2 linked regions of the Drosophila melanogaster genome follow. The protein of the gene in region 2 interacts with the protein of the main gene of each other region in a pairwise test. Each region holds a gene or a part of one and is shown on either strand. Other genes may lie near its edges.

What was found. The genes of interacting proteins can lie anywhere in the genome.
Region 1: the proteins of ACOX1 (region 2) and Svil interact in a two-hybrid assay, tested with the Drosophila melanogaster proteins (one large-scale study listed by BioGRID).

The regions. Positions count from the first base shown.
Region 1 is NT_037436.4:2,384,493-2,392,368, forward strand, and holds the start of Svil (supervillin), read left to right. Parts: upstream 1-3,499; 5' UTR 3,500-4,274; coding exon 4,275-4,289; intron 4,290-4,772; exon of another isoform or gene 4,773-4,843; coding exon of another isoform or gene 4,844-5,092; exon of another isoform or gene 5,093-5,228; coding exon of another isoform or gene 5,229-5,348; intron 5,349-5,408; coding exon of another isoform or gene 5,409-5,693; exon of another isoform or gene 5,694-5,742; intron 5,743-5,776; exon of another isoform or gene 5,777-5,781; coding exon of another isoform or gene 5,782-5,931; intron 5,932-5,990; coding exon of another isoform or gene 5,991-6,443; exon of another isoform or gene 6,444-6,497; intron 6,498-7,876. Other genes in the region: Mzt1 (mitotic spindle organizing protein 1), read left to right, coding at 4,844-5,092; CG32299 (uncharacterized protein), read right to left, coding at 5,229-5,348, 5,409-5,693; CG32298 (uncharacterized protein), read right to left, coding at 5,782-5,931, 5,991-6,443.
Region 2 is NT_033778.4:17,756,385-17,765,041, forward strand, and holds ACOX1 (acyl-CoA oxidase 1), read left to right. Parts: upstream 1-4,555; 5' UTR 4,556-4,881; coding exon 4,882-5,005; intron 5,006-5,744; coding exon 5,745-5,904; intron 5,905-5,958; coding exon 5,959-6,251; intron 6,252-6,308; coding exon 6,309-6,604; intron 6,605-6,663; coding exon 6,664-7,280; intron 7,281-7,345; coding exon 7,346-7,451; intron 7,452-7,514; coding exon 7,515-7,667; intron 7,668-7,726; coding exon 7,727-7,987; 3' UTR 7,988-8,157; downstream 8,158-8,657. Other genes in the region: HLH54F, read left to right, coding at 1,191-1,266, 1,703-2,052, 3,652-3,954; OstDelta (oligosaccharide transferase delta subunit), read right to left, coding at 8,297-8,657. UniProt on the Drosophila melanogaster protein: Catalyzes the desaturation of acyl-CoAs to 2-trans-enoyl-CoAs. First enzyme of the fatty acid beta-oxidation pathway.

The DNA of each region.
Region 1 (7,876 bases), on a different chromosome or scaffold from region 2:
GTCTGCCAACCAGCGTCCATTGAACTTGGCGCAGAGTGAGTGGGTCTGATGGGCTCCAAAAACGCCTCAAAGACATATCTTTGAGCTGCCTCAGACGAAACAAAATTTCACACCAATGTGGCAGAAAGTATCTGCTGAATTGGTGGATGCCCGCGACTACCTGACAGTGTCCCATCCATCAATCGGTGGAAAAAGATTGCGCCACAGGTCAGCAGGTGTTTGAGTTGTTTGGGGGTGGAACTCATAGGCGTAGAGCCAGATGATCTGCGGTTTGTTTTCCTCGAGAACTACCAGTTGAGACATCAGAAAGGTGTGGGAAAATGAAGGCGAATTGCATCAAGGAAGCTGCATGGTTAGATCAGGGATAATTGGCGTGGGAAATTAAGGTATTACTATTATAACATATATATTGAATGGGCATATAGGAAACGATCCTTACACTACTTATATTCGAGTATATTATCTTAAGGGTATTACCATCCAATTTATGTATACTACTGATTACTATTGTATAATTACCCAAGTATCTAGAGCAAAATTGTTAGTGAGCGGGTTTCCTAATCATTTCGCTTAAACACCAGTCAAATACGGCACGAAACCGAAACTCTCTATTATATCGGCAGTTCCCTTTCGCCACATTTCGCCACATTCCTGACCATTAACTGCATTTGGTTGGCCACAAAATCTGTCGCCATAAACCGAATGAACGTAAGTCTCGATGGAGCAAACTTGATTTATGAGCGATTGCAGTTGCAGATACGTATATATTTCGCTATCGCCGCACTCTCACTCTCGGCTGGTCCATTTGGAAAATGGCATGTCAACGGAAATTGCTTAATCATTTCCACGCATATCATGTACACCTCGTATACATATGACTAATGCCATCTGTCTGTGCTCTTCCTTTCCGCGCAGGTAAGTTTTACTGCTATCGTTTTTGGGCCATAGGCAGTTAAAGGAAATCATTGCGTAAGTCAATAAAAAACGGAGTTGATTTGTTTACTTAGGACTTCCCCCCCGGGGGAGGAGTTGCGTAATCCCCGGTTCCTGCGAGGAAGTGGCTCGTAAAAAGGGAGCCATTAGCATGTGCAGTCTGAAAAGCGAGGCGCATAATGGATTTTCCAATCAATGCAGCCCATAATTATGCTCACCAATGAAGTTATTGGCTCATTTGGTCAGGCGGCTAGCGAAATAAGTGGAAAATGAACTGAACGGAGATACACTCCACTCCTTGATTATCGTGGCCATCATACGAACATATCTCCTTCACCACCACTGCTACCTGACCCCTTGTCGCGCCTAACGATCTTTAACCTGACCAACAACGATCCCATCCCGGCCATCTCGGCCCAGACAGTCTGCCAGTCTTTTGTTGTTTATTGATCGTCGTGTTGCACAGCATTCAAACGTGCGTCGAGTGAATTTGTGTCTTTGTATCTTTGCATCGCAGTACCTTTGTATCTGGCGAATGCATTTCGTTGTATCTCAAGTGTATGGGATTGTTTGTACCAATGTTTGTCCGGCTCATTTGCAAAATCTGCTGGGTAATCAGACACCGGCTAGGGATGTCAATTAGCTTATGTTGCTGCTGCTGCGGCTGCTGTTTTGCCAAGTGCGTGACCATTGAACCTGCATTTCCCATTTCCCATTTCCCTGCTGCTTTAAGTGAAAGTGAAAATGCCAGTCGTTCGTTGAACTTGCTGGGAACTTGGCATAAGCAAAGCTCTGCCGACCCTCAGAACTAATTGAAGATTTCATAACTCAGCATTTATGGCCCTTTGCAATCTCAGTGTCAGACTCTAGGAGTCTAAAGCAGACAATTTATGATACAAATTAAATGCATGAAAATTATGATGAATGCGAGGCGAAATTTATGCTGATGACATACCCAACAAAAGAGCGCCAATCCGCCCAGACTCCTACGGCTTCACAAGCTCCTTCTACCTCGCCTGCTCCTGCTCCTGCTCCTCCTCGTCCGCTTCCTGGAGGGCAGCTCCAATCAAGAGCCAGACGATCCACAGACAACAAATCGCCGAGTCAAGGAGTTTGCGGCCCAAGTCGTTTCTGTGTTCATGGATACACGCAAAAAACGATGTGTTACATAGTAAAATCTTTGGAAATATGTATATTATTATGTAGCTCGTTCTTAATAACTAAGATATTTGAATTTACTACACTTATTCGTGCCACTTTCTCTAAGTGTAAGTCTGGATCTGGTCCTAAGTTCCATTGCCTCCCGCCCCTTCCTTTATGGTTTTTTGAGCAGCTGCATGAGGGGCGGGGAGTACAACGAGGTGGACTCCTTGTGGCTGTGGCTGCCTGCCTCTAGCCGAAAGTTGTTGCGTATTTAAAATGGAAATTGCAAGTTTTTCGCTGAGCGTTCCCAATGTCTTTTCCCTGTCTCTCTTGCTCGCTCGTCGACGCTTTTGTTTCACTTTCGTTTGCTGATTGCAGGTTTTTTGTCTTAGCTCATTTTGATTTTATTTCTCCCGTCTTATTCGGTGCATTTATCACGGTGCCACACATTTGTGCCACAAGATGCCAGAGAATCGGGCGGGCATGGCCAATGAAATTGGCCGCAAGTTTCCTTTTCATTTTCATTTTTTTTGCAAATTGAATGCTGCTTTTCAAGCCGATTTCAAGGGTGAACGATTATTGGCCAAGACACCACACTCCTTTCGCCATGATATTTGAGTGAAATTTCTTCATGCAGATCCATCTGCAGTTTTGTCATCTCTCGCTGGCAGGTTATGAAATATTTCGCAACTTTTGCTGCGAAAAATTTCCTGTTTTTCTTCATTTCACTTACGCACTTCTCTCCTTTGGCGGAGTTCGGTGGGTTTCTCGGCCGATTGGTATTAATTATTATTATGGTCTCGTTTTTGTTTCGCCTTACGGATTTCTGCAGCTTTTATTTTTAATGCCCAGCGAACCTGTTGCAATGCGTTCCACAAGCTGAGATATGCGCCTGGGTGTGGAGAGATGAATAGTTATGAGGTTTTAGGTTTGGCTAGCCAATCTTGGTTTTCCAAAGGGTGCCTGACACTATATATTTAGTTTTATTTACTATCATAAAAGTACGAATGATCCACTTCTATCCCATGACCAACTCACGTATGTTCGCCCCATGCTATTCATCCCTTAGTCTTTTCACCCATTAAAACCATTTAGCATTCATTAAGCCCAATTTCTGCCCCATCCATGGTGCTCGGAATAATCAACAAATTAACTAAATTCCTAGTGGGCGCCTCCATCCCCAGAATAATCCAAATTCCGAAGTTGTGACATCAAGAAATGTCGAAGCGATTTCAAGTGCAGCCCCGGGGAATCTTGGGAACATATTCGAACATTCCCAATCGTCCGCAACCTGTTTGATCCGTTGGTTATCAAAGATATTTCCAAACATGTTCGAAGCGAACCTCATGATGAGGTTGCATGGAATCCATAAGATACAATCCACAAGCTGCTTTGCAGCTACAGCCCAGCGGAATTTCAATTCAGTTCGCGCTCAACTCACAGACACGATGGTCATTCAAACGCGTTAACGAATAATAATTTAAAATAATATTCAAATGATAAATACACTAAAATATGCACTAAACCACGCACTAAACCTAAATCCACGAACTGTACATATTTGTGTAAATAAATAAAGTATAAACAAACAGCGAAGAGAAACCTCGAAATACCAATAGACCGCTCAAGTTCCCATACATTGAGCTGGCCAATCGTGTTTGAAATTATTTGTTTGATCGATTTTGTGCGGTGTGAACACCTTGTAAAGGCATTTGCAAACCTATTGCCATAGCAAGCAAAGTGTGTTAAGCTGGGAAACACCCTCTGAAAAGTTTATGTACTACCCCCTTCGATCGGTCGAATAATAACTACCACAAGACAAGCATTAAGTTTGTGTTTACGTGCTGCTGACTAATTGCGTTTATATAGCCCGACTATATAAAACTGTACAATAAGACACGGCCAACTGTTTTAGTTTGAACGCCTCAGTTAAAGCTGCAAATTGCTTCGCTACCAAGTGAAGTTCTACATTTTCGCAGCGAAAACGTTTTTCAATTGATTTTCATTAAGTGAAAAAATCCCGAGATTGTCTTCTTTTCGGTTTCCAATTGATCGCAATTGCACCAGACCCATAAAACATATATACAAAGTGAGGCTGCATTCCAAGTAGAGCAAGACAGTAACCACTTCATCATCACAACATCAGATGCTGCATAATTAGCATTCGTTGCGTGGAGCGTCGAAAAAAAAAGCGGAAAATGTATCTCATACAGGTGAGGCCAAGCGATACAATGGATCCCCCTCTCACGATTAAGTGTTTGCTCTTACTTATCACATGCTGGCGGCACTGCACTTGCCGACTGAAAAAGATCTTCATTTAAGCGTTTTTTAATTGTCCGCCAGCTGAGATTTTCAGCATTTACAATTCTCCCCTCCGTTTGAAATGACTGTGAGAGGCACGCATCTCTGGCGTATATAATTTGTTTAATTTGTAGCTAATTTATCTTTCCACTTGGCAGCGGGCAGATCGGATGTCGAGCAAATGGGGGGGGGTTCACTGGAGCAGGTGCCTCATTACTGAACTTTGAACTTGAAACGGTGTTACGATTTACAGCTGGTAATGGATTACGGTTAGGCATCGGGGTTCGGGTTAGCAGAACAAATGTGCAGGCCTGAGATTATGAAGGGAACTCAAATATTTTGACATAACCATTAATCATTTGTAAATGATATACATTCAATCGATTGCTTTTGAGTTATCTGTCAGCATTGCCCTAAATTATTTAGAGATTTATTCCGAGTTTATATCAAAATTTGTGGAATAAGTATGTCAGAACAACCGACACAACATAAATCCGACGATCGCTTCACTATCCTGCAAACCTTATCGGATGTAGTGGACTCTGGTCTCAGCAAGGAAGCCCTTAAAATCTGCATCGAACTGGTGGACAATGGTGTCTGTGGTGGAGCACTAGCACATGTAATTCGAACCATTAGAGAGGAGATTCAAGATGATGAAGATAAGGAAAGTGATGATTCCGGAGAATCGGCTGCATCAACAGACTCAACTTTGTAGGAAATGAATATAAAATATATTTTTGTGTTTATATTTTGTGTTTGTTAAATTAAAAGTTCAACTTTCCGATGGTCTGTTTCCGAAATTTGTAAGACGCTGGTTCTTGGACATCCAATTGCATGATTTTTGAAGGCTTTCAAGAAGACTTCGCCACTCTATTTGCATTCATCAAACGCAAGCGACTGGCGTTTCTGAAAACGGTATATGTGCCGGCCATGATAATGAAAAGTTGCACCACTTTGGCTTGATAGTAGGTCTAAGATGATAATGTGTTTAGATAAAAGCTTATAGCAAACCGAAGCAACAAACGACTCACCTGTCTTATATAGATGGGCAATGGAATGTGCGATCGATGAACATGGTAATCCATTCCTCTGAACAGCCAATAGCCCGGCCACGCCCCCAAACTGGCGAAAAGAAATGGTGCTGCAGTACTGTAGGCCTTTTCAAAGGATTGCGAATGCACCAGTAAACGTATCTCCTCGCCAAGATTATGCATCCGAGGTGGGTGGGCTATTGCCTTGGCTGGTTCCTCCTCCTTTCGCTTAAGCCTCGTCGAGAACTTCTCCTTCAGATTGCCGTAATAATTTTGGATGCCCATCTTGGAAAGGTTTAATTTTCGACCGAAAGTTGTGTATTGTGTGTGTGTGTAAAGTTTGGACAGAAACATATATCAAGGCTTACCTGAACTAAGAGGAGTCTCCGATGTCAGCTGTTTCTTCCTGATTATTGTGCACTGTATGCATTTCTATTGGTATGCCGGCAGGTCGACCCATTGATATCGTGAACAGACCAGTGGCTAAGATAGCCAACTGCATTAGCTTGGCCTGTTGATAGGTCTGAAATGAATAGTTTTCAATAGGTTAGACTGCACGGGGTAGACTGCTATATTTCAAACCCTTTGAATGTAAAATGCGATTCTCTCCGTTTTTCGTGCGGACTGCCAGTTGTAGCCGCGCCAAATCCAAAACGCTGGCCAGGACAAAAAGCTGACCTCCAGATAGGGCAATATATCAATTATCTTCTTCGATAGACCCTGAGGTGCGTTGCGATCTACGAAGTCAACAAACTCTAGCTCGTAGTTTAAAGCTGGAGCCGTTTGTTCCCTAAACTTTTGCAACTTGACATCTGGGGTTGGAATATCACCAGAGGTTAGGGGTTCAGTGGTATCAGGTGCAGTTCGATCAGAGTCCGGCTTCCCAGTTTCCTGGCTCGAAGCTTCTGGTATTTGGTTTGCAGTGGTTTGGGTTTCTTGTGCATTCTCTACATTCTTAGGACTGTATACCACCGCTGCAATGGGGGAAGTAAAGTTATGAAACAGCTCTGAGATCTTCTGGAGCAGCGAATCCATGCTGAAAAGCTGAACTTTTTGACTATTAATTTTCAATTTTCCCAAAGGTGCCAAAGCAAACAAGAATAGCTTGCTGGGTTTTTGGTTTCGTTTGAAAAGTTCAAAGACTCGAGGCAATTGCATAAATTATCGCCTTAACTCGTTCGTTCATGCGGGCTTACATTTGTTTTAAACTAATTTACCCTATTCATTTTTCTATTTTCTGTCTTTTTATTTTGGGGGCCCACAGAAGCCGCAGAACAAGCTTCATTATTGCCGGACTGCGGGTGCCCAAGATTGGGGTTCTATAGTACGAGTACGAGTATAGTCTATATGGTGTATGGTGTACAGTGTGGTGCCGAAGTGGGTCAGTTGGTGCAGCGGTTCATGCAATTATAAAGCGCATATCTACAGGTTGCATACCAGATACCTCCACTTCCACTTCCAGCTCGACTTCGACTTGGGTCCATTGTGTGGCAGTGGCCAACTGCTAACGGCTCGGACTACGGCAGGTGTCTCATCAGTTCATTGTGTGTTTTTAGTCTTTCCACTGGGTCTTGTGTTTTTCGGTTGAAAATGTGGCTTACCTTCGGCGACAGCATGGAGTTGTATGGCTTTTGCCGGGACAAAGACGCACCTAATGAAGTGAAAATCTTTGGTTCTATTGTGATAGTTCTTTGATTAGCGGACTTCGTTTGGAATATTCTTAAGCCACTCCTGATGGTTCATCGATCATGTGGAAAGTTGACATCTAACACTCTAACAGTTCTCTGCATCTGCGGATGAATTGAGAAGACTTAGAATTGATCCACTTGCCCACTTATTTACCTGAGAGTATCAGCATTACCATTTTAAAGCCATTATCTCTCCCCGTTTCCAGCATCTTCAGACCAAACTACTCAAGCGTTGAGCCTGAATGGGGCTTTCATTCAAGACGCTTTGAAACCACAAATTGCATTTCTACGACTTCACACAGATCGATTCCGAAACTCTCCGTCTCTCAGTATTCTATCCACATTTCTCTGAAACTGCGGCCTACACACAAAAATGCCTCTACCCTTTTAACTGTTCAAAGTCAAGCTCAATTAACCCAATTTCAATTTGGAAAATGATTTGCAAAAGCCAAATAAATCGTTTTGAAAGTCTTCGGCCTGTTGCCAAAACACTCGAGCATAAATCAGCACCACAACGAAATTTCTTTGGCCAAAACGCCAACTCGCTTTTGGGCCCACCTGCAATTAGTCTGCTCAGGTGGGTGTATACTCTTATACTCTCTTTCACTCCCCGAATCGTGTGAAATTGCAACTTTGACTGCGGTCAATGTTAATAAAATTTTCGATAGAAACCATTAACTGGTAACTTTACTGGTAAATTGTATAATCAATTGACAGCTGTAAATGTCTGGGTTTCCGTGAAAGGTCTGCTCGTGTGACAGGTGACGACACTTCAGGTGT
Region 2 (8,657 bases):
AACGGCCGAGCGCGACGACTTTAGAATCTCAACTGAATTCTCGAGTTAAAAACACAATACCGCCATAATAATCTCCCGCTGAATTGATCGGATAACCCATGGTTCAGCATCCTGATAAACCTGCTGTGCCAGTGACGTTCCATCCATGACTGGAGGCCCTAATCAAGGCCACGTTTTAGGGTCACAGCACGTTTCTTATCTGGGTTCGGAGGCGTGGCAAGTAGTAAAATTAGTTAGCAGCTACGTAGGTCAAAAAACAATTTAATCTGAGCAAATTTTTAGTTTCAATAAAGATGCGGTTTAACAGATGCTTCTTGCTAATATGTTGTGGTTTCAATTAATCCATTCATATAAATAGATTTATTAAACTCTTGCTTTTCTTTTAAAAGCACTTAAAGAAAACGTAAATTCTATAGATTAAACAAAGTGTTGCCTACATATATGTACATATATTTTCGAGTATTTTCATTTCCCGCAGAAAATTTGAAAAGTCAAAATCGTTCTCGGAACTTAAAACTCCCCACATAAGCAATGAAATTTTGGACCCATACTCAAATGCCAACCATCGCGGCGACCCCAAACAGGATACGCAGTTGAACCCCAGGATTATAATCTCTTCCGATCTGCCATTAATGCCTATCTCCAAATGCACTGCGAGATCGAATACCAGGTGGTGCCATCTGGAGCCGGAGTCTTGGCACGCTTCGCACTCGCCCGTCGCACATCCTTACGGCACAACATCCCCACTCCAACGCCCGTAGTGAACCGGATAAACCGAGCGTTTCATTTTGAATTTTCCCGCAGACCGACGGAGGAACACTGTGTGGCCAATGTGGTGGCAGCCAGAAGGCAAACAACCGAGAAAGAGACCGCCGATCGCACCATGTGTCCGGATTCCTCCGCCAATTGGGACTGTTTGCGGAGCAGGCACGCCCACCAGAGGTGCCAGAAATAGACGGAATCTGGAGAGCTGCAAACTGCGGAGCAGAATGCTCAAAAAGGAGGATCTCCCCGTAACCCGTGACAGAAGTGCTCTACGTGCCACGCAGATCGGACGTATTCGACTCACAGATTGGTTTCGGTTCGGTGCGTTTCGATTTTAAGTGAGAAAACTGAGTGATTGGAATTTTATATCCAATTTGAAAATATTCGAAGTGATTCTTGTGATACCACCAACTTGTTTTTGAACAATGCCACGCAAGAAGCGCAGTTCCAGCCCCACGGAGTTCTTTGATGACGACTTCGATGAGGATGCCAGTTCTCAAAGTGAGTTCGATTTCAATTTATAGGTGATTTTGTACTTATATTAAAAAGATGTATTATAAACGCTTAAAAACGTTGACAATGTAAATATGTTTAGCTAGTTTTGTAAATTTATTATTTACTTTAAAGTAAAATTCAATTTCCTTAGAATTTTTTAAATCGAACTTTAGAATTTACCTTAAAAGGAATGTTAATTTAAAATGCGTTAAGCTCTAAATGAAAATATAATAATAATGATAAAAATTATAATAACAGAAAGCACAATAGATATAAATTGAGTTTAAAATTCATACTCCATATGCTTTTTGAACTTCATACTTTGCGAAGATATCTATAATGTAACTTAAAACTTTTGTGGATACCAATAAAACCTTTTGTTTCTAATTAATCTCTTGTTATTGGAGCTCCTTAAGATGTATCTACATTTCTGATTTTCCAGGCTCCCAACCGCCGGTGCAGCGAAATGCGGCAAATGCCCGGGAGCGGATGCGTATGCGGGTTTTATCCAGCGCCTACGGACGTTTGAAGACCAAGCTGCCCAACATTCCGCCGGACACGAAGCTCTCCAAGTTGGACACGTTGCGTTTGGCCACGCTCTACATCAAGCAGCTAATTACGGCTGTGGAGACAGGCAGCCACTCGCAGAACCACCCGCACAACCACAACCAGCACCACAGCCTCAACCACAGTCACTCGAGTACCACCAGTTCCGAAGGCCTGGACACAAGTCACATGGCAGATTCGTCCGGTGGAGGCAATTATAATTTCCACAACAACGGACACGGCATGGTAAGTGTCATGCAATTGCGATCCCCCTGCCCGAATATAAGTGATGTCACTGCCACCACTTAACGATGCACTGCACCCGCGGCTCGGGGGAACGGGAACGCATTAATGAGCCGGCCACTTCAGGTGGATCTCGTCAGTTAATGACAGGTGTCGCAGGGGATGCCCAGTGATATGCCCAAGATCAATGTTTATTCATGGATTTCAGTCTAATTGAGAAGTAATGTTCAGCCGATCGGGATTCCCATAAGTTTATGTCTTTTTATGGAAAGTTTGGTATTGGGAATGAAAATTTTTCTTTTATGCGTTTTCTTTGAAAAGCCATTAAGGAAATAAAGTAGGTAGATATTTGTAAATTTTGCTAGTTGAAATTAGCCTTTCGTAGAATTTTAACTTAGAGATCGTGGAAAGTTACACGGAAACCCAGGCTTCAGTGTTTAAAATTTAAAAAATTGATACTATTACAATTTAAACGTATACGCAATCTATTATTCTCATTTTTTTTTTAACAAGCAACTTAAGTATTTAGTAATACTACTCAACTTATAGGGGTAATTCAACGCAATTTTAGCGAAATATAGATCAAAAATCCAAAGGAATGTGGTGCAACATCTGCTTGGTGATGCGGACGCGATGCGGCGACAAGTATTTCCACCTTTTCTAGATGTGGAGGTGAACCACAAACGTAACCACATCCACATCCCATGACCGGAGTCAGCCATTCAGCCGGGCCCCCCACTAGAACACCGAAATCACATTTTGTGATTTCAGACTGCCTTGCTTTCCTGTAATCCGATACTTTTGTGAATTTCGAAAATATTAAATATGAGTGACAGGCTGTTGGTGGAGCGGGCAGGGAACGGAGATGGTAACGCAGACCTGCGGATCTGGATGGGGGGCACTAGTTAGTCTTTGCTTTTATTTTTTATTTTTAAAGATGCTCTTGATGCTTTGAAGCGACACAGTGAATGACATGCGAGGGAAAGTGTCATCCTCAGTAGTTTTCCCACTCGGATTATTGTAATTAAAATTTGTCTAACCGTGTTTATCCATCAGCCATTCCCGCTGGAGTTTACACAATCTATCACTCAAGATTCATGGCGTGCACAACTTATCTAAATAGATGCAATTGTTTACACACCGAATGCGTGAAAAATTCAGCAAATACGGCTCCGTCTTGTGCCCATATGGTGGCAAATCAGATCGGATCGGAGAGTCCCGACCCTATCCGAATTTATACCATCCACGCGCCCAAGATGATCTGTTGGGAACAACCCATTGGTTCGCTATTTGCTCGCTAGCCCTAGCATCCCTATATCCCATTTCCAATCCCTCATTGTATGGCATACAAATGAGTGTCTCTTGTCCGCAAGTGTTTGGCTGTTTATGTTTTTATAGATCCGTTAATGAGGCTGTTATTGTAGATCTAGACGTGGAGGCGGGGGTGGGCACTAAAAACAATCAAAGTTGCGTAAACAAACAATGGCGCTGTCTCGGGATGGGTTGTCGTCATATTGTTCCATATATAGCCCCTGCGGTTTCCACAACTCCTATGATTTATGCCTGTTTTATCCACACATTCCACATTATACTGTCTTGCAGAGCTGGCCCTTTGAGTTCCACCAGAGTAGCCGGAGTTTGGCATTTGCCCCATCATCATCAACCACCTCATCCGCCCGTATGGATTGGCAAACCCTGCATACGCAATCTTATCCGAAGACTACGCGAGGCGAAACCCATGTTTCGGCGGATCTAAGTTACCATCAGTTGCCGGAATCTCACAGTCACTGGTATCCGGCGGAAGTGCATCAAATGGAGCCAGCGGCCAGCTGTTCCTATGACTCTGGAATGGGGCAGCATCAGCGGGGCATAGCTATAGCCACTAGCCATGCCCATGGCATTTAAGCGGATATTATAAATAATGTTCTGACCTAAGCCAAATGAATTTACCACCTAGTAAGTGTATTAAATCGTGATTTAATTTTACGTGTTTCCGTATGTGCAAGCCTGAACCTATGCTATAAGGCCAAAGATTGGTGTTACCTCATGATCATTTAGCTAGCAAATATATCTATGTTTTTAATAAAATTGGAATTTTTGAATTTTTTTGAATTGGCGCCAAGATTATGGTGACTGTATCCCTGGAGTTGTCGAGTGCTGCCGTACTTGTTTGTATTTTGCAGCCCTGTTCAACAGCTGATTTCGTCACAATACAAACAAAGAGCTGCTAAAAACAAAATTAATCTATTAATTAAGGCGGAATTCAAATACCCTACTTTTTTTAAAACGGCTAATTTGAGACATTTTAAAGATGTTATTTATGCAGAAAGATGTAGTGAATTTGCATTATTCACTTGCAAACAAATTATACGAACAAAGAAGCTTATGAAAGCAATCTTATTTAAATTAGAAACAAACTGAAAGAAAACGCCCAAGTACTTTTTACATGCAGTGTATTTATTTTGTGTATTTACTCATAAATGTAGCCCAACAACAATGGCGTGAGAATAATGGTTGTGCTACAGACTATTTCAACACAAAAGCGAACTTATTACATGTGTATTTTCGCGGTTAAAGTTCACGTCGTTCGAGAGCTGGCATCGATGATTAGATTCGGAATAGCTGGATCAGATCAGCAGTCCATAATCTCAATCTCCTCCACTGGATTTCCTCCACCAGCACTTGAGTGACCGACTGACTGACCACTGAGCGCAATTCGCCTTTCCAGCAACAATCAGTCAGTACGCGATATTCAACGAAGACGGACGCTTTGCGGTGGCTCGTTAATCCATAACCTGTTTACGTGACTTGAATACTGTGCCGCATAGCAAAATGCCAGCCAAACCAGTGAATCCCGATCTCCAGAAGGAACGCAGCACGGCCACCTTCAATCCCCGGGAGTTCTCCGTTCTGTGGGCCGGCGGCGAGGAGCGATTCAAGGAGAAGAAGGCCCTGGGTGAGTTAGCTTAGAAGGGAAAAACACCGGATTTCAAGCTTCTCCGGTGACCCCGACAGACCTACATGTACATTCACATTAACCGGTCGCTCAGAGCTTTATCTGAGCTTGGCGCAATCGCGTTTCCCAACAGTGGATGCAAGAAATTGTGCCAAAAGCATGACTTGGCAATTAAGCTAGGCTTTAACGCATTTATAGCTAATCTGTAGGGTACAAACTCTGATGCTAGCCATGTCAGCCACTGATAAATTATCCAAAACATCCTGTCAACTTCTTTGTTTTGATACGCTTCTTCTCCGTCCATTCATTCATGCGATTTGTTGATTTTGCTGCACGCCGTGGCCCAAAGTTCATTAATTATGTATTCCGCATAAACAAGCCGCTACTAGTTAATCAGCACCTATTAGCCAGCTCATAAGTTATTAATCTTTGAACTTCGCGCGAATCGCGATCAATCCGACTACTTGTGTACTTTGAATGTTTGCAGCTACCCACCATCTATTTCCAGGTCCACTTGAAATTAGTTTAGCTGATAGGTTTATCTGACAGATTTGCACGGTCGCTCAGGGCATCATAAATGGACAATGCCCAGTAACTCCCGCGAATTAACGAAGAATACTTTCCACTCATGATTACGCTGCAAAATTCAACAATGCTTATCTAAATGACACCTCCTAAAATATTAAATCCCTTTCCTTATGGCTTCATTTACATTAAATTTCGTTTATGATTTTTCCAGAGAAATTGTTTTTGGAGGATCCAGCCCTTCAGGACGACTTGCCCATTTCCTATTTGTCACACAAGGAGCTCTATGAGCACAGCTTGCGCAAAGCCTGCATCATAGGAGAGAAGATCCGCAAGCTACGTGCTGATGGCGAGGATGGAGTGGATACTTACAAGTAAAGAAATCCTTATATTTAATGTACTTCAGGTTGTAATTTGTGTGCTTATAGTGCTCTGCTTGGTGGATCCTTGGGATCGGCTATTCTAAAGGAGGGCAATCCGCTTGCGCTGCACTACGTGATGTTCGTGCCCACCATCATGGGCCAGGGAACGATGGATCAGCAGGTGGAATGGCTGAGCAAGGCCTGGGACTGTGAAATCATTGGCACCTATGCCCAAACGGAACTGGGACACGGAACCTTCCTGCGCGGTCTGGAGACCAGGGCTGACTACGATGCCAGCACCCAGGAGTTTGTTATAAACACTCCATCACTCAGTGCATACAAGTGGTGGCCCGGTGGATGTGAGTTTTCTTGAACACTTAATATTTTGAAATTGTTATAAAATCTGGGACTTGCAGTGGGACACACTGCTAACCATGCGGTTGTGGTGGCACAACTCTACACCAAGGGCGAGTTCCGTGGTCTGGCTCCTTTTATTGTCCAATTGAGGGATTCCGATACTCACCGTCCCATGCCCGGCATCGACATTGGAGATATTGGTACCAAGCTGGGCATGAAGGGTGTCAACAATGGCTATTTGGGACTGAAGAACGTACGGGTGCCTTTAAACAACATGCTGATGAAGAACCAGCAAGTGCTGCCCGATGGCACATATGTGGCGCCGAAGAATAGCGTGCTTACCTACGGAACTATGGTACTATTACACATATTCACTATATCTTCACAGAGATTTTAACCATTTTTTCATTCAAGATGTTTGTGCGTTGTGCTCTTATCCGTGATACCGCTCAGAGCCTGGCAAAGGCATCCACTATTGCCACTAGGTATTCAGCTGTTCGCCGACAGAGTCCCATTGATCCCAATCAACCGGAGCCCCAAATCATGGACCATACCACGCAGCAGTTGAAGTTGTTCCCCCAGATAGCTAAAGCCATCGTTTTCAAAACGACGGGTGATGGCATCTGGAATATGTACAACGTGATATCTGGCGAGATTGAGCAGGGTAACTTGGATCGCCTGCCCGAAATGCATGCATTGTCCTGCTGCCTTAAGGCCATCTGTAGTGCCGATGCCGCCGCCGGCGTGGAAACGTGTCGTCTGTCATGTGGCGGACATGGCTACATGGACTGCTCCAACTTCCCCACGATATACGGCATGACCACGGCCGTTTGCACCTATGAGGGCGAGAACACAGTGATGCTGCTGCAGACTGCTCGCTATTTGGTGAAGGTTTATGGGCAGGCCTTGAATGGAGAGAAGCTGGTGCCAACGGTTTCGTACATCAGTGATGCAATAAACCAAACCAAGTTTGTTAACTTTGACGGATCATTGAGGTCTATTGTCAAGGCTTTCCAATTCGTTGCCGCCAAGTAAGTATTTACTAAAGAAAAAAAGGTAGAAGTACCAAGTATTTAAATTCATATTTTTATATCAGCAAAACCCGAATTGCCTATGAGCAGATTGAACTGCGCCGCAAGCAAGGTTATGGTACCGAGGTGGCAGCTAATCTATGTGGCACCTTCCTAACAGCAGCTGCAGATGTAAGTCGTAATGAAATATCTGTTATTCACTCAGTATCCTATATAATTTTGTACCACTTGTAGCTTCATGGACGCGCCTTCCTAGCGCAGACTGCCTATACGGAGCTTTTGGCCTTGTCGCGCGAGGTGTCCCCAGAACTAGCTGAAGTCCTAAAGGTGGTGCTGGAGCTGTATCTGGTAGACGCCTGCCTCAACCGCATTGGCGACTTCTTGCGGGTACGATTTTAAATTGATATTAGTTAAGAATATTTAATGTTATATGTAACTTTCAACAGTTCATTGATCTCACTGATCAAGATGTCACGAAACTGGAGGTTCGCCTGGAGAACTGCTTAAAACGATTCCGGCCGAATGCCGTCAGCTTGGTGGACAGCTTTGATCTTCACGATCGCGTGCTAGATTCCGCATTGGGTGCCTATGATGGAAATGTTTACGAACACATCTTCGAGTCTACGAAGAAGAACCCGTTGAACAAGGAGCCAGTCAACGGAGCATTCCACAAGTACTTGAAGCCATTCATGAAGGCTCACCTCTAGATTCATATCCTATTGCTCTGGAAGATTTTCACAAGTGTTATTATTGTAAATATACATTTGTTTCCATTGTTTTTGTATTATACAACTGTCTGCTTAGCAAATGGTCTTTAAGACAATTATGATGTCAGGGCTTGTGCAGTTGAAACTAGGCTGTAAAATTATACACAAATAAAATATTCAACTATATTTAAAGGCAGTATTTAGTGTGTGTTTGGGCTTAACTAAATCGCTTTATTAAAGTTTGTTTTCTGATGGTGTTGCAAGATAGAGAGTAGCTCACTTATTGACTTCGTACAATGATGAACGCACTTACGACGCACTTGCCTTCGAGTTACGTTGTGCGTAAAGACGTCTCAGTAATCGGTTGCCAGCCAGGAATGTGAATACTGCGATGGGAATCAGCAGGCGCAGTGTCTGGAACATGTTAAGCTGCAGCCAGAACACGAAGAACAGCACCAGAATGCCACCGAAACCCAGATGAAACCCGATCGTACTCGGTGCCAGCGTCAGGTTAGATACATTGATGCCCAGTTTTCCCCAAAAAACGAAAAGCAGCACAAGCGGGGTTATGCACAGTCCGGTGAAGATATCAGAAACAATGCGGGGCGGGCGCTTATCGGGCACTCGGAACTGATGGATGATTTCGGGCAGGGGACCAGAAGTGTTCTTA